3 linked regions of the Pelodiscus sinensis genome follow. The protein of the gene in region 2 purifies or fractionates together with the protein of the main gene of each other region. This does not show direct contact. Links are inferred from orthologs where the notes say so. Each region holds a gene or a part of one and is shown on either strand. Other genes may lie near its edges.

Region 1 (7,654 bases), on a different chromosome or scaffold from region 2:
ATGGGGAGTCCCTGGAGCTCTCCTAGGAGATGAAAATGCCCTGGGGTTTGGACTCCCCTCCAGAGCATACTTCCCACTCCCCAGGAAGCCTCACAAGCTGCATTTGCACACGCACGCACCCCCAGAAAGCCACACAAACTGCATTTGCGCATGCAACCTCCCCAGACAAAAAAAAGGGGGGGGGGGAGGGCATAGCCAAAATTTATTTTGCTTGGGGTGGCAAAAAGCCTAGAGCCAGCCCTGCTCCCACCCTCTTTGACAGCTTCAATGGACACCATCCTCACCCATCCATGTGAGATACAGAGAAAGGGGAGAGGACTGCTAGACACTATGGGTGAATAAGCAAGGACCAAATAGTTGGGCCTCACTGCCCCATCTGATCATACTCTGAACAGGTACTTAGACATTTCTGGACATTCTGTAACTTCACCCTCTCTTTTCAGGATAAGACTTATTTCTGATGCATGGGCAGTTTGGAATGAAAATATTTTTACTTAGCAATAGTGGAGCAATTTGCTTCAGTGTATAGGTTTTGGCATTAAAAGCTAACTACAGTAAACTTTGGATAATCCGGCACCTTTAGGACCTAGGGGGTGCCGGATTATCAGATATGCCGGACTATTGGAAAGGGGGAGAGCTATGAAGGGTCTGGGGTGGAGTAGGGGGGATGCACCCCTTGGCACTGCGGGACCAACCCGGCAGTACCTCAGCTGCTCTGCCCCAGGCTTCCCAGAGTCAGCCGCTAGTCAGTTTCAGCAGCGGCTGAATTGGGGAAGCCCGGGGCAGAGCAGCTCCAATTGTCCAGCACTTCCGGGTTCCAGATGGTGCCAGACCATCAGGAGTGCCGGACCATTGGATGCCGGACCACTGGAGTTTTACTGTAACATGCTGTATTTGACAGTTTATGTTGCCTGCCAACAGAAGGGGTGTGATGGTGTTAATGTTTAAACTGTTAACCAATTAGGCTCATAGGTTAACTTCATGGCTATGTAAAAAGCCCCCCCTCGTCCTACTGCTTCTGTATCAACAGCAGCATCGGGGACAGGCAGGAAGCCAGTGCCTGCCCTCTCCCTGTATTGCTGCCTCTGACACAGAGGCAACAGTGGAAGGGAGGGGAAGGAGAAGGTGCCATCAGCTTTGTGGGAGCTAGTACACGCAGGGAACCATCTTAAAAGTTGGCTCCCCTCTGCCCCCCTGTGTTCCTGCCTCCATATTCCTAGCCTACAGCAATGGTTTTCAACTCTCTCTCATTTGAAGACCCCGGAAAAAGATTTGAATGGAGATGTGAAGTCCTTTGGAAATCTTAAACAGTCTGCAAACTCCAAGGGACCCACCGGTAAAAAACCATTGGTCTACAATATTTTGTCTCTCTTGGCACTTAAATCATAATGTCTTTTGGAGCAATGATTACATTGAATGCATTTATACCAGGATGGGCAAAGGGCTTTCTGCGGGCCCCCTGCTGCTCTCCCTTCCTCAGGCCAACCAGGGCCTGGGGACGGAGGAGCATGCAGTTTCCTCGCCCCCACAAAAGCAGACAGCAGCTAGAGACACACACCAGCTGTTTTAAAACAACCACATTTATCTCTAGCTGCCGCACACCTTTGTCGAGAAGCTTTGCGTATTCCCTGCCCCCAGGCCAAGTAGGGTCTGGGGGCGGGGAGCAAGCAAAGTCTTTCATGTCCTGTCCCTGTCCTGCCAGGGGAGTGCGGCTGCTAGAGAGACACACCAGCTGTGTCTCTATAGCTGCCATGCGCTCTAGCGGGGGCAAGTAGACTTCACATGCTTCCCCACCCCCAGGCCCTGATTGGCCTGGGGGCAGGGAGAGTGCACAAGGTCACCTTCTACTGGGCGCCTAAAGGGAAACCACCAGCTGTTTTAAAACAGCTAGCATTTCTCTCTAGGAGGCAGGGCAGGAGATGGAGGGGGAAGACTTCTCACACCCTCCCACCCCAGGCCATCTGGGGAAGGAGCACAAGAAGTCTCCTGGCTCTGCACCTTCCAGGGTGGCCCCCTTTTAAAAATTATTGCCCACCCCTGATTTATACTATACTGTTCTCAGCATAACAGTACTAATATTAGTTGGTGGCCTTCTGGTGCCATTATTGTATACATGAACAAGCAACAAAAGCAGTTATGTGTAAACGCTTGGCTTTCAAAATAAGTTTGCTGTGAGGACAAGTTCACTTAAAACTGCTTGAGCAAAATCCAGTCCCAAGTTTCCTTTCCAGTCTATTTCTGATGCATTTCTCCTTCATCTCATTTCTCTCATTCACCTGCCTCGGAAGCGCCACTCCGCGTCTCTTTTCTTTCGCTCAGCCTCCTAGCCTGGGTCTCAGATTCCCGGGCAGTGGGGGAGGCTTCCCCGAGGTGTGAACCCAGCGGAGGGGCCCGTCACTGCCTCGCTCTACAGCGCGGGGGGGGACCTCCGGCCCGCGCTATCTGCCCCGGGCCCCGCTGTCACCGGGTTTGCGCGCACAACAGGCTGGGTTACCAGCGACTGGCCCCAGGGAAACAGGATCCGAGCCTCAGGCTGCGCCGCAAAGGTTCGTTCCGCCCCCCGCCCCCCCCGGCCAGGCTCCCGGGAACCGCCGCACCGCGCGCGCGGCATTCTGGGAGCTGTAGTTCTCTCCGCGGAAGCGCGCGGGGCTCAGCTCCCAAGGCGCCCGGCCGCGCGGGGGGGGGAACGACAGCCCGGAGCGAAGAGGAACCGGGCGGAAACGGCTGCTTCGAGAGCCCCCGGAGCCTGGAATCGCCTCCCTCCTTGCCCCGCCCCCGCGAGCGTCTCCCAGGAGCGAGCGGCACCGCCAGGCCCGCCGCTTCCTCGCTGCCCCGGCCTCCCGCGCCGCGCTCACTATTTCTCCGCCTTGGCAATGTGCTCTAGCGCCTCGTTGATCTTCTGCGCCGCCATCGCACCGGGCCGGTCTGCGCCTGACAGGAGCTGCCGCCGCCGCCACGTCCCCGCCCCTCCTGCCTCAGAGAGGAACAGGCTACGGCAAGCCGGAGAGCTCAGTATCGTACGAAGGGGGCGGGACCTGATGCTATACGCTAGCGCGCCTGCGCGAGAAGCGGCGGGAGGCGAGCCGAACGTGCCCCAAAGGGACGTGGCTGGCGGAGGCGGACGCTCGGCGGGGGGGCACAGAGTCATCCGTGCAGCAAGGGAGAGAGCTGCGCGCGCAGCTCCGGGACAGGCGTATAGTCGCGTGGCTTAAAGCTGTGTCTTCTGCCCCCCCCTTCAGGGACTCTAAGAAGAGGCTTGGCTTGTGGTGGGTCTTCCTGGTTGCACTCCAGCTCCCCTTTCAGGACAGGCACAGGAGCTGCTTAGCTGCTACTTGCCCATTCCCCAGAAGCCTGGCACAGCAGAGAAGGGGCCAAATGTTTCATGTCAAAAGCCACCTCGTTGATTTTGAATGTAAGATTTTCCCTCTCTTCACAGTATGTAAACTGCACAGGGCTATGAATATCTAACCAGGCCCCAAACCGGTGAAATTAAGAGTCAGACCATCTCTCACATGTGCACTGTCCCATGGTGTCCTTGCTGTACCGAGATAAGCTCAGCAAGCCACATATTGGCTCAGCATTTCCTCCTCCACTCCGAAAATCTAAAACTAGCAACATTAGTTGACAGATATAGCAAGGCTACCTGCTGCTCCTGCCAGGCTCCTGTAAGGTGTGTGCTTCTTGACAAGTGCTCCACACATACTCAGCCCTTTTTATTACCTCTTCCCTCCTCCCCTGGTTCTTTCCCTACATCAAACACATGCCAGAGTAAAGGAAATAGACTGGATACAACAATGTGGGAAGGCCAAGTGAGATGATCACTCACCAAACCTGCACCAGGAGCATTACTGTTTCAGGAGCCTATAGGAAACGTTGAGAGAAAGACTATGTAGCAACAAAATAGTAGGTCAGGATTCAAAATATCCCATCACATGATATGGGTCAGTTAGTACATAGTCTGGCAAGAGCAGAACAGTTCCCTCCAGAGTGTTCAAGAGAGCACTAAAAGAAACAGCCAGCTGCTGGGTCATCCTGCCCACAACATCCTCAAAAGAGTAGGGAGTTTCTTACAAGCACAAAACTAGCTGGTAGCCTCTAGGGGTGTGTCTAGACTACAAGGTTTTGTTGACAAAAGTGGACTTTTGTCGACAAAACTATACCTGCGTCTACACTGCCGCTGAGTTCTGTCAACATAACGTCAACAGAACTTGGCAGTTTTGTCGACGGCAGTAAACCTCATTCTACGAGGAATAACGCCTTTTGTCAACAGAGTTCTGTCGACAGAAGGCGTTATTGCATCTACACTGTCCTTTGTGTCTACACTATTGTCAACAAAGCGGCTTGCTTTGTCGACAGAACTGGATGCTGTCTAGACGCTCTTTGTCAACGGAAGCTTTGTCGACAGTATCTGTCGACAAAACTTCTGTCAACAAAAGCCTGTAGTCTAGATATACCCTAGGACTACGTCTACACTGGCATGATTTTCCGGAAATGTTTTTAATGGAAAAGTTTTCCGTTAAAAGCATTTTCGGAAAAGCGCGTTTAGATTGGCAGGATGCTTTTCCGCAAAAAGTGCTTTTGCGGAAAAGCGTCCTGCCAATCTAAACGCGCTTTTCCGCAAAGAAGCCCCGATCGCCATTTTCACGATCGGGGCTTTTTTGCAGAAAAGAAATCTCTGCTGTCTATACTGGCCTTTTTGCGCAAAAGTTTTTCGGAAAAAGACTTTTGCCCAAACGGGAGCAGCATAGTATTTCCGCAAAAGCACTGACAATCTTACATGAGATCGTCAGTGCTTTTGCGGAAATTCAAGCGGCCAGTGTATACAGCTGGCAAGTTTTTCCAGAAAAGCGGCTGCTTTTCCGGAAAAAGTGGCCAGTCTAGACACAGCCTAGGAGTGTATAGTGGGTTCTGAGTGGCAACTGGCAAGATTCTTGTAGCAGAGGATGACCCAAGAGATACCGTCTTCCTAGTTCTGGCAGACAGGATAGAATTTGGCCCTAGAAGTATGACTTTTCCTAGTTGCTGTGCCTTTAAATAAATATTTTTATATGGGAAGTTGTGACAGACCGAGCCGGATCTGGGCATTGTGAGAGCATCAGCTCAGGGTGAATTGCTCAAAACCAGGGCTACTTACAGCCCTCGACTGGAGACCTTTCCCAAATAGGCCACAAACCAGTCACACAGAGCACTTCAGCTGCCAATCTGGCCAGCAGGAAGCCTCACAAGCCCCTCAGACACTCCAGCTCTCCCTGTGCCGCAATCAACCCCGGACCTTACACACAGGTGAGAAGGTTTACTAACTCCGAACAGATCCTCCCAGTCCCAAAGAACCAGCCACAGTACCAGGCCAATTTACACTTTAGATCTTACCCACAAGAGCACTCTGGGCCAATCCTTTAGAATCTAAAATCTAAAGATTTATTAATGAAAGAAAAGGCTGAGAGTAAGATTGTTAAGGAGAATACATTACATACATCAATCACGAAGCTCTTGATGCATGTTCTTAGCAGAGATGTTACAAACTATTAGCTTAGAATTCTGGTGTACATGCTATATTAAGATGGGTCAGCAATCCTTCCTGGCTCTCTGTCCCATAGCAAGGATGCATCTGGAATCAGTAGCAAGATTGAAGACAAAATGGAGACATCCTCATAGCACTTTTATATTCCTGGTGCTTCCCAAATATGGAGCTGGTCACATGATCTAGTGACCTATCTGTGATTCCCATGCAAGCAGCCATGAGGCACTGGCTAGTCTGCAGGCTTCCAGACACATTCCAATGGACACCTGAGGAATGCATCTAGAAGCCTGCATTATCCATGAAGCAGTGCTAGTTAGCACAGCTGTTCACTGAACAATCCTTCTTCACAATAGGCAGTCCAGGCCCATTGCTCCCTCCTAGACAGAGAACATTTACAGTACAAGTACAGAGCCCATGTTCATAACTTCACATACAAACATCATACAAGTACATGAGTAGCATACATAGACTCAGTAAAGCATAAGCTTCTATTTGACACCTCACATGGCCTACTTTGTACAGAATTTGGGGCAAACACCACTCGTGGGTGCAACAGTGATCTGTCTGCTCACTTTAAAATCCAATAACGTGACAGAAGTGAATTAGTAGAAACAAGAAATAAGAGAGTTGCTGTTTTGTAGGCATAAAATGACCCCTATAAATACTTCTGAATCAAATTGTTTCTTTTAATTTTCCAACACTGTTCAGTTGTCTGGTTAATAAAAGCTGTTTAATTACGTATCTGCACTGTCTCATTATGCATTACTGGAATGACCAGCTAAATATTTCCAAAGATAGTAGTATTTTATGAAACAGGGGTATTCCTGGGAAACTTTTATTGTATAGTCCCAGAAGTTACAAGAAGAAACTGTTGCTTTTCAGAGGATTTTACATCTCAGAGGGCTCAATTATGATCTTTGATGTGAATTTGATTTGTACATAAGTAACTTGTTTTAAAATGGCCAGGAACTCTATTAAAAAATGTGCACTTACTACAATAGTATAGGGAATAACAAATTTTTACAACTATAGTCTCACACATTCAATTTGACTTAGTGTAGAAACAATTAGATTTTCTGTTAGATCTTGTTAATTGTACAATGTTATTGCTAGCACACCAGAAAAACTTGCTCCCTACCTAACTGTCTTTCCCCTGGGTATGCATGTCACAAACTGGTTCAGCCCTGCTCTCTGATTGGACATCAGTCTGTTGCAATTGGATCTAATGCTCCTTAGCACCACTGGGTCTGGGTAGTTACTGGTCATTATTCCTACCTCTGGGTCTCTCAGGCTAAGTCTATACTACAGCCTTCTTCCGCAAAAGCTTATGCAAATGAAGCACGGAGTCGACTACACAGCTCCTTTTTGCGCAAAAGCCTCTTGCGCAAAATGTCTGCTAATTAATTATGCAAATGAAGCTCGGCAATATTCTACTCCACATTTCATTTGAATAAGCTTTTGCAGAAGAAGGCTGCAGTATAGACGTAGCCTCAGAGTGTGTCTACACTTCATGTCAGCTGACTCAGGCTATGGCCACACTACAGTTTAAGTCAACATAAATTATGTCACTCAGAGGGGTAAATTAGCCACCCTACAAGCAACATAACTATTCCAATTTAAGCATCGTGAACTAAGGATGTTAAGAAGCGGGTAACTGATTAATTATGTAGTCAATACAATTTGTATCGACTACGCAATTAGTCGATAAGGGAAGGAGCTCTGTCCCAGCTCATGCCGGTCCAGGAGCTACCCCCACTGTGCTTCTGTAGTTTGGCCGCTCTTACTACATTTAAAATGCAGAGCCACAGTGGTCCCTGACCCGCGGGACCAAGAAAAAAGAAATGAGGCTAAATAATAAAGGAGCAGCTGGATAAAGCGGGGAGGGCAAGGTGCAGACTCTATCACTAGCACTCACCATGTTCCCTTTGCCTCACAAGCTCCACAGAGTGAGAGAGACACTGGGAAAAATCACTGGCAAGAAAACCAGGCAGAAAAGAAAGGTTCGAGCTCCCCAGGGCTGGGGCAGGGTTTGCATCCCTTGCCTGCCTCTCTTTGCCTCCTTTGCCACCCTGCACTCTTCCCAATCTTCGCCTCTTCCTGTAGTTGAAAACCCAGCATCACTGATCAATCTGG
Region 2 (7,218 bases):
AACCATACCTTCTGCCCCCCTGATCCTGCATACGTCTCTCTCCCAGACCACGTCTCCCCTCCCCCCTCACCTGCCCCAGGTCACAGCCCTTCCCCTTGCCCTAAGTCACAACCCAAATCCTTACACTCCCCTCCTGCACCCTTGTCCCAGGTCACAAGCCTCTCCTAGATCCTGCACTGCCACCTCCATGTTATAATGCCCTCCTGCAACCATGCCCTCTCCCAGATCCTATGCCCCACTCACCTACCCTCATCCAACCTCCATTCCATACCCTGCACCTCCTCCCTTAATATTAGGAGTGCAGCACTTGACCACTTACCAAATTCTTAGGAACAGCCCCACATCAAAAACTGTTGCCCAGCCTTGATTTGTGATGCATTTTAGTTTGTAAGAAATATCAGAAAATAGAATTAAGATGAGTTCTTTTGGCCTCCCTGCTCCCCACCCCTTTAACCCGTTAAGCATCACATTTAAGCATTTAACCAATTAAACAGGATTTTACATCCTTACTGCTGACCAGGCCATAAAAGTCTAGTTAATGGCACAGGAGGTAAGGCAGGCTGCATACCTGTCCTGGCTCTCTGCATCTCCTGGAAGCGGCTGGCATGTCTCTGCGGCCCTTAGGAGCTATCAGGGAAGCTGTGTGCACTGCCCTCATCCTCAGTGCCAGCTCCGCAGCTCCCACTGAGCAAAAACTGCATCTAAGGAGAGCTATGGGGGCAGTACCTGTGGGCACAGGAAGCACACAGAGCTCTCTAGCTCCGCCACCTAGGAGCAGAACATGGCAGCCGCTTCTGGGAGGCACACGGAATCAGGAAAAGTAAGGAGCCTGCCTGAGTCCTGCTGTGCTGCTGCCCAGAAGTAAGGACTGCCTGGCTGGAGCTCATACCCTACTCCTTCTCCTGCACCCCAATCCTCTGCCCCAGGTTGGAACCCCCCCCCTCTAGCTCCACTCATCTGAAAAAGAGCGTTGTGCTCACAAAAGCTCATGATACTTTTTTTGGGGTTAATTTCTAAAGTGCTACAGGACCACTTGTTTAAGGGTTCTTACTTTTCAGGGTAGCATTAAGGGACTAGAGTACGCCTACCGTACTTAGAACTCCTTTCAAGGAGTTTATCAAGAGTAAAGGACGACCCGGTTACAGTTTCAGTACTTACATGGAGAAACAAGTATTTAATAATAGGATCCTCATTCAAGTAAAGAGAGCAATTTAATTCAATGGTTAGAAGTTGAAGGTGGAAACATTCAGACAGGAAATAAAGCATACATTAACACTGAGTAATTACAACTGGAACAGTTTATCAAAGGTCATCTTTAACAATCTAAAACTCAAGACTGGATGTTTTTCTAAATTTACAAGATACTGTATGTTCTAGGGATTATTTTGGGGAAATTCTATGGGGTGTGTTGATTTCTAGGTGATCACAATTGGGTCACTTCCAGCATTAGAATCTACTAATGTATTCAAGAGCCACATGTAAAAACAAACATTTTTGTTATGTTGCATGTAGCTACGTGATAGCAGACTCAGCAGACTCAGAGGGCACATTAACTTATTTACACAAACATATATACACATGCTTTAAAACAGTGAAGTAGTGGATGTGATAACGAGCACAAAAAAAGATCAAGGATTCACACTTTCAGGTTTTCATACACTAACTTTCTGCACACAGGCAGTCCAGCAACTTCCCAAAAGCTCTACAATACCTGCTTGTCAAACAGCAGCATATCAAAAACTCAGCTCTGCACTTTGCTCTATCCCACTTTGAAATGGAAGTAGACAAGGAACCCATGAGTGCCTGGCAGCACACAGTAGTCTCTTAATGCAAGACAAGCTTATGTCTCAACTTGCTGCAAACTAGGGCCCAATCTATCTACCCTACAGCAGGCCATGGATCCAAGCTGTGCAACTTCAGCTACATAAACATAACGTAGCTGACAGCGACATACCTAGATCTACTTATTGTTGTATGCTCACCACAGTAAGTTGAACTCATATCTACCCCACCTACGCTTCTCATTCTGGTGGCATACTGGAGTCAACAGGTGAGCACTCAGCATCAATTTATAGTGTAAAAAAAAAAAAAATCTACCCCTGCTGGATTGATCGTTGCCTACGCATAGTGAAGGCACCCTCTACACCCTCTACGTGTCCAGGTAGACAATCCCTAAAGAGGGATATATACAATAACAGTTTGGGGGTATCACTGCTCCAAGAAATTCTTTGCTCAGTGTCAGGAGAAAGAAATGCTGCAATTCTTTGACACTGCAACAACTGCAGGGCTGCAAAGGAAGACAGAAGGGGCGGGAGGGAGGCGTTTCCTTCCTGAGCGTTAACCCTCCCTCTGTGGGAGCACGAAGCACAAGGGCACACCCGCACATGACAAACACTGCCTCCACCCAGACTCGGCTCTCGCACAACCCTCTTGGGGTGCACGAGTCGCTCTTGGCTCTGGGGAAACAGTCCAAGGAGGTGGGAAGCAGGGCGGGCGTGTGCCCCCGACGGGCGAGGGCTACCCGCTCTCCAGCCAGCCGCGGGTGCAGCCGGGCGCAGGGACGGGCTGCAGCTCGGCGGCGATGGGCCGCGGGAATGCGGAACCGATCCCTTCCCGTGGGCAGCCGCCGCGTCTGCCCTGCCCCTCCCCTCTCGCCAGCGGGGCTGGGAGCTGTGCCGCACCCGCACGCCGCCCCCCACCACGCGGGCAGGGCGGCCCCCGCTGCTGCCCGCCCCCTTGCCGCGGGGAAGCTGGAGCCGCCCGGGAGCAGGGCGGCACCCCCCGGGGGCACCCCCGGAAAGACAAGCGAGCGCAGCGACTCCCCTGGGCGCCGCTGCACCCCCAGCGCCTCTTACCAGGCCCCAGCGGCTCCGCCTCCCAGCACAGCCGGGCTCAGGACGCCGCACGGCACCGCTCAGCTGAGCGGCGGCTCCGGCTGCAGCAGAAGAGTCCCGGGGAGAGGAGGCGGGGCTGAGCTCGCCGGCCCCGCCCCTTCGCCTGGGCCCAGTGACGCGGCAAGCAGCTGCCTTCCCGCCCCCTAGCGGGCTGAGCCCGGCGCGCCGCCGCCTGCAGCCTCCGGGCGGCCCCCTGAGCGCGCAAAGCGGGAGCCTCTCCAGTCAGGCGTCATTAAGGGAGCCCGCTGCAGGGGTGGGAGCCTAGTCGCTCCGGATCTCTTACTCCTTCAACGGCCCGAGCGTTTCTGCCTCGCGGAGCTGCTGCCGCTCAGAGCCTAGCGCTCAGCCCTGCAAGCTCAGCTCCTGGCGAATCTTCTGCAGCCAAGATGTTGGCTATGGACTGGGTCTGAGCATTCAGCGCCTCACGTATCTGGATGCCCTCAGTTATTAGCTCGCCTTCCTTGTTAAGCACGTGACCTATAGTTTCCTTCATCTTTCTCTTGCTCCCGATGTATGTCAAGCCTCTCATTGTATTGCCTTGTGTATGCCCCTTGCTACATGTAACCCCTTTTGTGCCTTACCCTGTCTGATTTTGTTTTGCCATGCTTGTACTATCCTTTCTTCCTTAACTATTCAGCCATGTTTCCCCTCTTTGTAGGATTTTTTTTTTAATTTCAGATGATTAAAGAGCTCCTAATTGAGCTAGTGCCCAGGAGGAAAGGAAGAGAAGAGCCAGCCCCCAACTATCTTAGGCCCTGAGTGCACTAGACCAGGCAGATTGGCTTAAGGTACTCCATCCAGCTACACGAAATGCTAGCTGGGATCAGCTTATCTTAAACTGAGCCACTGCAGCGTCTACACTGCAGGAGGCTGGTGGGAGCACACACTCCCACCAGCTTCCCTGACCCCGGTGGGGGCTGCCTTCAGCGTTCAATTTGGGAATCTACGCTAGACCTGCTAACTTGAACATTAAATTGACCTCCCGAGGGTCAGTCTTCTCCATAGTGTAGCAATGCTCTCCGAGACCTCAAAATCAGGTTAAAAATGCAGGCGAACAGGTAGAAGATCCAGCTCCTTTGTCTTCCTGAGGAATAATGCTCTAGATTCTAACTGGACACAGAGGAGCCTGGCCGCATTCTCACCCACAGACCCTCCACTACAGAATGGGCTTGAGCCTAAGAGAACTCAGCTTCTACACATACACATTCTTGCTCTCAATTGGTGAGCAGAGTCTCCAGTTTTGGAATCTTTTTCTACAGCTGGACTCTGTTCCCTCAGAAAGCAGGTGGATAGTCACAGTTTCAGCCATGCAGTCCTCCTCTAACATACTGTGAACCTGCAACTGCAGAGCAGGAAGTTGGGAACTGTACAGCCTCAGTCCTGGAGTCTGGTAATTAGAAGAGGAGCAGTTCACAGCTCCACCCACTTCTGTCTTTTCAATGTTTAATGATAGTTGTTTCCACCCACTATAGATGTCTTCTATTCCCAGTCATCTTTGGCTTCTAGGCAGTTCTACAACTTTATTATTGTGGATATCAAGAATCTTCTCACTGGCTTTTTAATTTTGAGAAAGTGTTCATTCGAAGTCTGAAATTGGAGTCCAATGTTCTTTGTAGAAAAACAAAACAAAACCCTTCTAATTCCAAATATATGCTTATATAAATATGGCAGAGATGCATAAAAGTTACTTAACCTGTGAGCTCTTTAGGAAACAGACTGTTTTTGTTATGTGTTTGTTTTAGCTGTGTAGCACTGTGGAGCTTTGCTTGGAGGTTTTAGCTGCTACCATAATACAATAACAGTGAAAAGTTAAAACAACTTAGAAGAAAAAGAAAAACCCAGACAAAAACTATTTGCTAACGTTTTGATATCAATACTCGTTCCACATAACTTTTCCATCTGGTTGATTATTACAGACATGGTGCCCTCTCTTCAGTTAATTTAAATAAATTGGCTGTGTCTAGACTGGCAAGTTTTTCCTCAAAATCATCTGCTTTTGCAGAAAAACTTGCCAGCTGTCTACACTGTCCGCTTGAATTTCCGGAAAAGCACTGACGATCTCATGTAAAATCATCAGTGCTTTTCCAGAAAAACTATGCTGCTCCCGTTCAGGCAAAAGTCTTTTTCCGAAAGACTTTTGCGCAAAAGGGCCAATGTAGACAGCATAGTACTCTTTTCCGCAAAAAAGCCCCGATCGTGAAAAAGGCGATCGGGGCTTTTTTGCGGAAAACCGCGTCTAGTTTGGCCACAGACGCTTTTCCGCAAAAAGTGCTTTTGCAGAAAAGCATCCTGCCAATCTAGACGCGCTTTTCCAAAAATGCTGTTAACGGAAAACTTTTCCGTTAAAAGCATTTTCGGAAATTCATGCCAGTGTAGACGTAGCCATTGATAGTATTTAGTTATAGCTACTAAAGCAGCAGTGAGCAACCTAAGGGACTCATGTGGCCCATTGTGGTTCTGTGAGTGGCCCATGAGACGTTTTGTTTACTGTTGCTCATGCACAGGATTGCCGGATTACACTGCTTTTCATCTGCTGAGTGTTTTTTTCTACCAATATTTAAAAAGTGACACATACTTAAAGCAAGTGCATGTGAAGTGAAGTATGTGCTGATTGCACACAACATTGTGAGACCTGTGTGCTTTCTGTATCCAATCAAAGTGTTGTTACAGTTCAAACAGCACACCTTGCAAATGCTAGGTAGGTAAGCACAGTTAGCAAAACTACCCTATCCTGGGAGACCGTCTTAGTTACAATATTCTTGCAGCCCACTGAGGTGAAGGAGGGCCACTTGTGCAGTCCACTCACTACCCGAGGTTGCCCCTCATTGTGTTAAAGCATGCTAGAGAGGTGGAACAAAGTAGATTGGTAGGATTTAGGTGAGTTCTTCATGCTCTAGCTATTTGGAATTCTGTTGTGCAAGCAAAGGTGCTGTGACTTTTATACATAAAAAGTAATAAAAATGGCACTCCTGGACATTTATGCTATCATATGCTACATACATTCTGTATGCATGCTCATTTTGGGTTTAATATTTCATTCTGATTGGCAATTATTTTAATACTGTTTGTATTACTTTATTTTCCTTACAGTTGTAGTATATTTTGGATAACCCAGTATTTACCACTAGATGGCAAAATAGTGACGTTACACTACTCTCCTCTGCTAGCTGAAGATCGTGAGCTTGAATATGATCTCTCATTGGTTTTACACCAATATGACTTCAGTGCTTTCAGTACAGTCATTCTAGATTTACATGGACTCAGATGAGATCATAATACATTTCTTCTGTCAAAGCAATATACAAATATATATATATATATATATATATATATATATATATATATATATATATATATATATGAGCATTTTGTTTTGGATTTGTATTTCTGATAAAAAATGTCTTGTTCAGAGCAGACACTTTGTAACTTAGGGAGCAGTTCACTTTGATTTGCAACATATGGATACCTCTGTCTGCATTTCATGTCTTCTGATAGAAATGTATGACACTTATGAAATAAGGCAGAAGTTCCCAAACAGTGTTGTGCAGGATTTTGATGGCCCCTGGAGATTTTCTTGGTATGCACTGTTACTGTATTCTCCTCCTTGCCTCCAGCAGCTTTTCTATGTTACAAGACAGATACAAATACATTAAATATTTACCTAATATTATTCTTCCAAGTAAGCAATAGTTGTGGCCACAAGGATGTTACAGAATGGAAGGAGAGGCAGATCACAAAACAGATCCAGTTGGCCCAAGAAAAGGGAAAAGGAAATGCTTCTGATCAGTATTTTCTGACAGATTATCTCAGCTATTTATTTCTATAGCTTCCATCTTCAAAGTATTTGAGTGTTAAATTCAGGGTTAAATAAACATTTGATTAGGGAGCATCTGCTCTGCTTCTTGTGGGTCAAAATCAGGTTCATGTGCCCATACAGGCAGTCCCTGGGTTACGTACAAGATAGGGACTGTAGGTTTGTTCTTAAATTGAATCTGTATGTAAGTTGGAACTGGCGTCCAAATTCAGCCACTGCTGAAACTGACCAGCGGCTGACTACAGGAAGCCAGAGGCAGAGCTGCTCTGCCCCGGGCTTCCTGGAATCAGCCGCTGATCAGTTTCAACAGCGGCTGAATCTGGACACCAGTTCCGACTTACATACAGATTCAACTTAAGAACCCCAGGCGTCCCCAAGTCAGCTGCTGCTGAAACTGATCAGCGGCTGATTCCAAGAAGCCTGGGGCAGAGCAACTCTGCCTCGGGCTTCCTGTAGTCAGCGCTGGTCAGTTTCAGCAGTGGCTGACTTGGGGACGCCTGGGGCAGAGCA
Region 3 (6,850 bases), on a different chromosome or scaffold from region 2:
AACATCCTGTCCACCCTTTCGAGAGTGGCCTCCTCTTCGTCGACCAGGATGGCATCCAGGGTGCCCTTGTCCAGCACCACCTGGAAGCGGGCGTCCGGGAAGTCCATCTGCAGCATGTCCATCACCAGGAAGCTCATCTTCGGCCTCCTGTCGGCGTTGCGCTCCCTCATCTGCTTGATCACCACCTCGCTGATGTCCACGTTCACGATGTCCTGGTAGCCGACGTCATACATCTGCTCGCTCAGCTCGGAGTTGCCGCAACCCACCACGAGCACCTGGGACATGCAAAGAGAGGGTAGCTTCCCTGGGGGTCCCAACCCGCCTCACACACCATGGAGACGAGCAAACACCCGTGGGGAACGGATGCCGGGGGGGGGGGGCCTTGGGGGAGAGGAGGATCGGGGGGGGGGACATTGGGGGAGAGAGGGGGAAGGGATCCCGGGGGGGCTGCTGGGAGAAGGGAAGGGATGCTGAGGGGGCATTGGGGGAGGGAGAATCCGGGAGGGCACTGGGGGGAGGGGAAGGGGGATCCCGCTGGAGGGAAGGGAAGGGATCTCAGGGGGAAGGAGCGGTTGCAGGATCCCGGAGGAGGCGCTGGGAGGGGAGGGGGATCCCAGGGGGTATCCGGGGGGGGCGCTGGGAGGGGAGGGGGATCCCGGGGGGGGGCGCTGGGAAGGAAAGGGATGCCAGGGGGGGCGCTGGGGGAGGGAGATCCCGGGGGAGGGATCCGGGGGGGCGCTGGGGGAGGGGAGGGGGATCCCGGGGGAGGGATCCGGGAGGGCGCTGGGGGAGGGGAGGGGGATCCCGGGGGAGGGATCCGGGGGGGCGCTGGGGGAGGGGAGGGGGATCCCGGGGGAGGGATCCGGGGGGGGCGCTGGGGGAGGGGAGGGGGATCCCGGGGGGGCGCTGGGGGAGGGGAGGGGGATCCCGGGGGGGCGCGAGGGGAGGGGGATCCCGGGGGGGCGCTGGGGGAGGGGAGGGGGATCCCGGGGGGGCGCTGGGGGAGGGGAGGGGGATCCGGGGGGGGGCTGGGGGAGGGGAGGGGGATCCCGGGGGGCGCTGGGGGAGGGGAGGGGGATCCCGGGGGGGATCCCGGGGGGGCGCTGGGGGAGGGGAGGGGGATCCCGGGGGGGTCCGGGGGGGCGCTGGGGGAGAGGAGGGGGATCCGGGGGGGCGCTGGGGGAGGGGAGGGGGATCCCGGGGGGGCGCTGGGGGAGGGGAGGGGGATCCCGGGGGGGCGCTGGGGGAGGGGAGGGGGATCCCGGGGGGGATCCCGGGGGGGCGCTGGGGGAGGGGAGGGGGATCCCGGGGGGCGCTGGGGGAGGGGAGGGGGATCCCGGGGGGGTCCGGGGGGGCGCTGGGGGAGGGGAGGGGGATCCCGGGGGGGGCGCTGGGGGAGGGGAGGGGGATCCCGGGGGAGGGATCCGGGGGGGGCGCTGGGGGAGGGGAGGGGGATCCCGGGGGGGGCGCTGGGGGAGGGGAGGGGGATCCCGGGGGGGCGCTGGGGGAGGGGAGGGGGATCCCGGGGGGGGTCCGGGGGGGCGCTGGGGGAGGGGAGGGGGATCCCGGGGGGGCGCAGGGGGGGCCGGGGTCTCACCGTGTCGCGGGGGCGCGCGTAGCGGCGCAGGGCGGGGCGGAGCTGCGCGTACCCGCCGTACCACTCGAAGGCGCGCGCGCCGCGCTGGCGGAAGAAGCGCTCCCAGTAGCCGGCCGAGCCGAACTCGCGCGCGCTGCGGGGCAGCAGCGCCATGGCAGGGGGCGGGGCCTCTCCCCACGTGCGCCCGCGCCGCGCCGCGCGACCCTGGGACGTTGCGACGCTACGTCCGCGTCCGGAGCCCGCCCATTGCGGGGCGGGCGGGGCTCGGAGGCGGGGGCGGGGCCCCGGGGCGGGGCTGGGAGGCTGTGACATGAATCCATGGGCTGCAGAACCAAAGCCTCCCCAGGGGGCAGTGGCTACAGCTTCGCGCCTGCCCGAGCCTGCAGGCAGGGGGCGTGGCCATTCTCCGCTCAGCTGGGTGTTGACTCTGGACCCTAATGACATCGGGACAGGCAGCGACCAGAGGAGGCAGGAACTGCACACAAGTAGCAGCCCAGAAGAGGAAGCTGCATACCAAATGTGGTGGTCCTAGCCCTTACCATTTAGGAAGAGTTCTTGAACAAACAGACTCACAATTGGACAGACAGATGCACATTTTTAAAATACATAAGTACATTTGAACCATCCCTTAGACCACACCAGTGCAACTGCCCAAAATGTCAGTTGGGAAGAGAGAGAGCCAAATCCGAATCAGCATAGCTTGATTGATAAATTCACACCAGGTAAGGATCAGACCCATTCACACATTCAGACTAGCCAAATGTTCAACTGCTGTTTACTGAAAACAGGAGGAAAGGAGGGAAGGTTATAATGATATTGGCATAAACAGACACCCAGCATACACTGATTGGAAAGAAGCTCATATATTTAACAAAATAACAGATGGAGAATTATTAATGCCATCAAATGCCTTTGCAAGAAAACAAACAAAACAACAACAAAAACGTACGGTAGCTATATGTTAGGCTTGTTTCCTGCTTGTATAAAAACAACCCAGCTAATCAGAATCTCAAAAGAGTATTTTCCAAAAGCAGATTTACAATAGTGACAGCAGTTAGAGGCAGATCAGTTGTGGAAGGTTGTAAGTATGCGCAAAACATCCTGCTTTTCTGCACGGTTGCAACTGGTTCCGCAAACGGCAGCATTTTAAAAGCCACCCTCTGAGTCAGGAAGCCCCAGATTGGATCTTCCTTTTGGCAAGTATCGTTGTGCAGAGTTTGTGGATTTGCCGTAGGTGTGTGTGCTTTCGCTCCAAAGAGGGACTGCTTCCATCTCCTTTTTCTAAACACAGGGGCTACGTCTACACTGGCCCCTTTTCCGAAAGGGGCATGCTAATTTTACAGGTCGTAATAGGGAAATCCGCGGGGGATTTAAATATCCCCCGCGGCATTTAAATAAAAATATCCGCCGCTTTTTTCCGGCTTTTAGAAAAGCCGGAAAAGAGCGTCTACACTGGCCCCGATCCTCCGGAAAAAAGCCCTTTTCCGGAGGATCTCTTATTCCTACTTTGAAGGAATGAAGGCTGGAGAAAAGGCCCTGTAGGGGGTCTTAGAGTTCAATATGTTCTGTTCTTCTCCAAAGTAAGATTGAGAAGTGAATTGATCAGGATTTTTACACACAGAAAATGCAGGTGCCCACCGTGGAACAGTTGATCGTGGTGGAGAGATGGGGAGGTGCTGATCGGCAGAGCTACAGGCGGGCGGGAGGCATTTGGGTGCGGAAGAGGTCCGGGGGGTGGCTGGTTCGCGCCCCCCCCCCCCCCCGCCTTTCTGGAAGATGTAGGTGAGTCAGACACAAGCTAGTAGGTGCAGGTGGGTGAAAATCTGCGGCCTGCAGTATAGACTAGAATGATCCAACCATCGCTTCTGGCCTTAACATCTTTGGGGTCTAGTCACGCGGGTTGGGGGCTCGCTGATACACGTCTGAACGCCAGCGCTTCGAAGGCAAGCGCCTAATTCCCCTTGGCTTCAATGGCAGCAAGCGCCTAATTCCCCTTGGCTTCAATGGCAGTCACGCACCTAAGTGCCTTGTAGGATCTGGGCCGGGGGCATTTCCTCCCTCCCGCACTGGGACTGAACAATCGCTGTGCGTGCGGGGGGGTGCAGAGCCCCCCCCCCCGTGCTGCACCCCCGCGTGGACACGGGCCGGGACCGCGACAGCCCCGAGCGCCGCGCCGCTGCCCACGTGGGCTCCCAGCTGGCAGCGAGCCTCAGCCCCGCCCCCTCGCGCGAGTGGGCTCGAGACACGCGCGCGCCCCCCAGGGGCCAGCCCGCCGAGCGCCGGGCAGGAATCGATGGCTCGGCGCTCGGCCCGGATCGCCGAGCGCTCGATGGAGCAGCTGACTCGCAGCTGGGCCCCTCCGCGCAGCCCGGCCATTTCCCAGCCGCGGAGCGGTGAGCGGGGCCGGCAGGGGGGTTATCGGGAGGGGGCTCCGGGGGGGCAGGGCCTGGGGGCCCTTGGGGAGGGGGCTCTGTGGGGGGCAGGGCCTGGGGGCCCTTGGGGAGGGGGCTCTGTGGGGGGCAGGGCCTGGGGGCCCTGGGGGAGGGGGCTCTGTAGGGGGGGAGGGGGCCCTTGGGGAGGGGGCTCTGTGGGGGGCAGGGCCTGGGGGCCCTGGGGGAGGGGGCTCTGTGGGGGGCAGGGCCTGGGGGCCCTTGGGGAGGGGGCTCTGTGGGGGGCAGGGCCTGGGGGCCCTGGGGGAGGGGGCTCTGTGGGGGGCAGGGCCTGGGGGCCCTGGGGGAGGGGGCTCTGTAGGGGGGGAGGGGGCCCTTGGGGAGGGGGCTCTGTGGGGGGAATGGGGTGGGAATTGGGGGGGTCCTTGGAGGCCGTTCTGTGGAGAGGCTTTGGGGGTTCTGTGGGTGAAGGGCTTTGGGGGCTCCCAGCTACGTGTGCTTGCAGAGCTCTTGCCCCCTCTGCTGTTGTCTGGTGGCCCCGTGTAGACTCATGCTGCACGTGAGCTCGTCTCAGGGTCCCCTCTCCTCCCAAGCGCTGGGTTTTAGAGGGGAGTGGGGTTCGGGGGCTTCACGGGGGAGGGGTCCCAGGAGAGACCCATCGGGGAAAGCAGTTCCCTAGCACTGGGGTATCTCTCACTTCCTCCAGCCTGTGCTCATTGCCAGGGCTTCTCCTCTACCGGCCACATGATCCCTCCGATAACCCCCAGCCCAGCCCCTCGTATTCGCTGTGGTCCCTGCTTCCGGCCCAGCCAGCTGGGTGACACCCGCCCCCCCCCCACTCCTTGCCCAGGACCATTGTACCCCCCTACCCCCATCAGCTGCCTGGGTGACTTCTCCAGATTCTCTAACTTGTGCCTCTTTTGCTCCTGGCTTCGGTTGTGTCTGGACTGTTGCTCTTAACCTGTAGCGACACTCTCATCCTTCAGCACATGGGGACAGGCCCTGCCCTGCTGCGGGCTGTCTGGCTGTTTAGGGGAGCAGACAGTGCTCGCTGTGCTGGGACATTGGCTAAATTTCCTGCATTTCTGGTATTGTCACAGCCTACGGCTCTCCCTGCAATTTTCCATGTGCCCGCTCCGGGGTGGCAGGTTCCCCGGGATTGCAACGTTTCATCTCCACTGACTCCTGCAGCCGAGGAGAGTGGTGATGTTCAAACCCGCAAAGCCGTATCCAGGGTACTTGGGGTAGAAAGCCGCTTAGGATAGAACTGGGTGGCTCGGGGAGCCAGATTCTTTACCTCCTGGGTCACTGGGACACGGAGCCAGACGAGGTCAGCCCTGCAAGTGATCACTATGAAGTGGGGTGCAGTTCCTTGCTGACAGATATTTACCCAGCCCAGCTCTCCACCACCCTCGGCATCTGTGGGTCACTCCCAAAGACGCCAAGGGCAGGGGCCGTCTGTCTGGCTCAGGTGGAACGGAACACGTTGGCGGAGGAACGCTGGAGAACTTTGCATGCTGCCGTGCCTACATGAGATGGGCCTGTTCTGTAGAGAAGCAGGGTTTAACTCTTCCAACTGGGCCCCTCGTTGGCACTGACCGTAGCAAAGGGGGCAAGGTGGAAGAGAGAGAGCAGACCGCGCTTGGCCAAAATCCTGTGGGGGCTCGTCAGGTTTTATTGCTTTTCTTTCCTGGTTTAGTAACCTGTGGCTTTTTGATAAAATTGGTCGCTTTGGGGTTTTAGACCAAAGGGCTTGATAAGGGTTGTGGATCGGTTCTCCGCTGTGCTCAGAGCTGTACAAAAATGCAGAAAAACACAGTCCCAGCCCCAGTGAACTTAAACGCTTTGGCCTTGGCCCTCCGGAAACTCACATGTGGCCTGCACAGTCACATGCGTAAAGATAAGCAGGTACCGTCACGTCTCTTCAGGGTCAAAGTTTCTGAAACTAGACGGAACGACGTGATCTGTCCCTTGGGGTCCCTGAAAGCCTGGCATTGCTGGGCCGGTGGGTTGATTTTTCATTCTCTTTCCTGTGGCATTTGTCAATGGATTCTGTTTCACTGGGCTGAGTTTTAGGGAGACCGCGGCGATCGGACAGAGAATTGATCTCAGCACAATGGGCTCTGAGATGTTTTCTTCCCTCTCCCTTCTACGCAGCCTCTTCTTCCGCCACCCCCCGGTACAGACAGTCCAGGCCAGTTCTGTGAATAGGAAAGATGCCTCCAAAATTCAAGCGCCACCTAAACGACGACGAGGTGACCGGCTCGGTGAAAAGCGAAAGGGTGAGTGCCTGGCAACTCAGGGTCTCGTTTGCATTCGTTGGCACCCCGCCCCCTTAATTAGCAGGGGTGTGTTTACTCACACTGTGCTCTGAGATCCCTGGCTGGCACACACAGCTCCGTTGCCGGGGGCTTTGGGACCATCGGAACGGGGAGGGATTGCTGAAAGCGGACCTCAGACGAACGACATCTACCGTGATACAAGCCAAGTGGGGCACTCAGCATGTGAGCGCAGAAAGCCAGATGGGAGGACATGTTGAATCCTTCTGGCTGGCCGCGCTCAGTGCTGACTGCTTAGGATGCCTCGCTTGGTGTCTTCTCAGTTGTTGAACAACTTCTTCAGAGGGTGGAGCCAGCTGGGGGTTGTGCCTGCTAAATAATCCCTGTTTTGTAATTGGGCTGTGTGTCTGGGAGGAGACATCGGCGTTTTGCGTACACTGAGCGCTTGGGCGGCCGCCCAGGAGAGATGCAAATACTGCCCATTGATCCATAGCTGGGACCAAGTGTTTCTTGGTGGTGCGCACCTGCGCATGCCTTGGCGCACAGAACAAAATTTATTCCACACACAAATAGTCACAAATTAG

The links.
Region 1: the proteins of STX7 (region 2) and NAPG purify together in Homo sapiens (affinity purification with mass spectrometry; 3 studies listed by BioGRID and IntAct, counting the BioPlex papers as one, with this or other methods). This does not show direct contact. The link is inferred for Pelodiscus sinensis from reciprocal best matches to the Homo sapiens genes STX7 and NAPG.
Region 3: the proteins of STX7 (region 2) and VAMP4 purify together in Homo sapiens (affinity purification with mass spectrometry; 3 studies listed by BioGRID and IntAct, counting the BioPlex papers as one, with this or other methods). This does not show direct contact. The link is inferred for Pelodiscus sinensis from reciprocal best matches to the Homo sapiens genes STX7 and VAMP4.

The regions. Positions count from the first base shown.
Region 1 is NC_134712.1:85,948,656-85,956,309, reverse strand, and holds the start of NAPG (gamma-soluble NSF attachment protein), read right to left. Parts: upstream 3,014-7,654; 5' UTR 2,912-3,013; coding exon 2,856-2,911; intron 1-2,855. UniProt on the Homo sapiens protein: Required for vesicular transport between the endoplasmic reticulum and the Golgi apparatus.
Region 2 is NC_134713.1:94,319,161-94,326,378, forward strand, and holds the start of STX7 (syntaxin-7), read right to left. Parts: upstream 3,013-7,218; 5' UTR 2,856-3,012; intron 1-2,855. UniProt on the Homo sapiens protein: May be involved in protein trafficking from the plasma membrane to the early endosome (EE) as well as in homotypic fusion of endocytic organelles. Mediates the endocytic trafficking from early endosomes to late endosomes and lysosomes.
Region 3 is NC_134719.1:64,088,846-64,095,695, reverse strand, and holds the start of VAMP4 (vesicle-associated membrane protein 4), read left to right. Parts: upstream 1-3,837; 5' UTR 3,838-3,990; intron 3,991-6,144; 5' UTR 6,145-6,203; coding exon 6,204-6,269; intron 6,270-6,850. Other genes in the region: METTL13 (eEF1A lysine and N-terminal methyltransferase), read right to left, coding at 1-275, 1,598-1,750. UniProt on the Homo sapiens protein: Involved in the pathway that functions to remove an inhibitor (probably synaptotagmin-4) of calcium-triggered exocytosis during the maturation of secretory granules.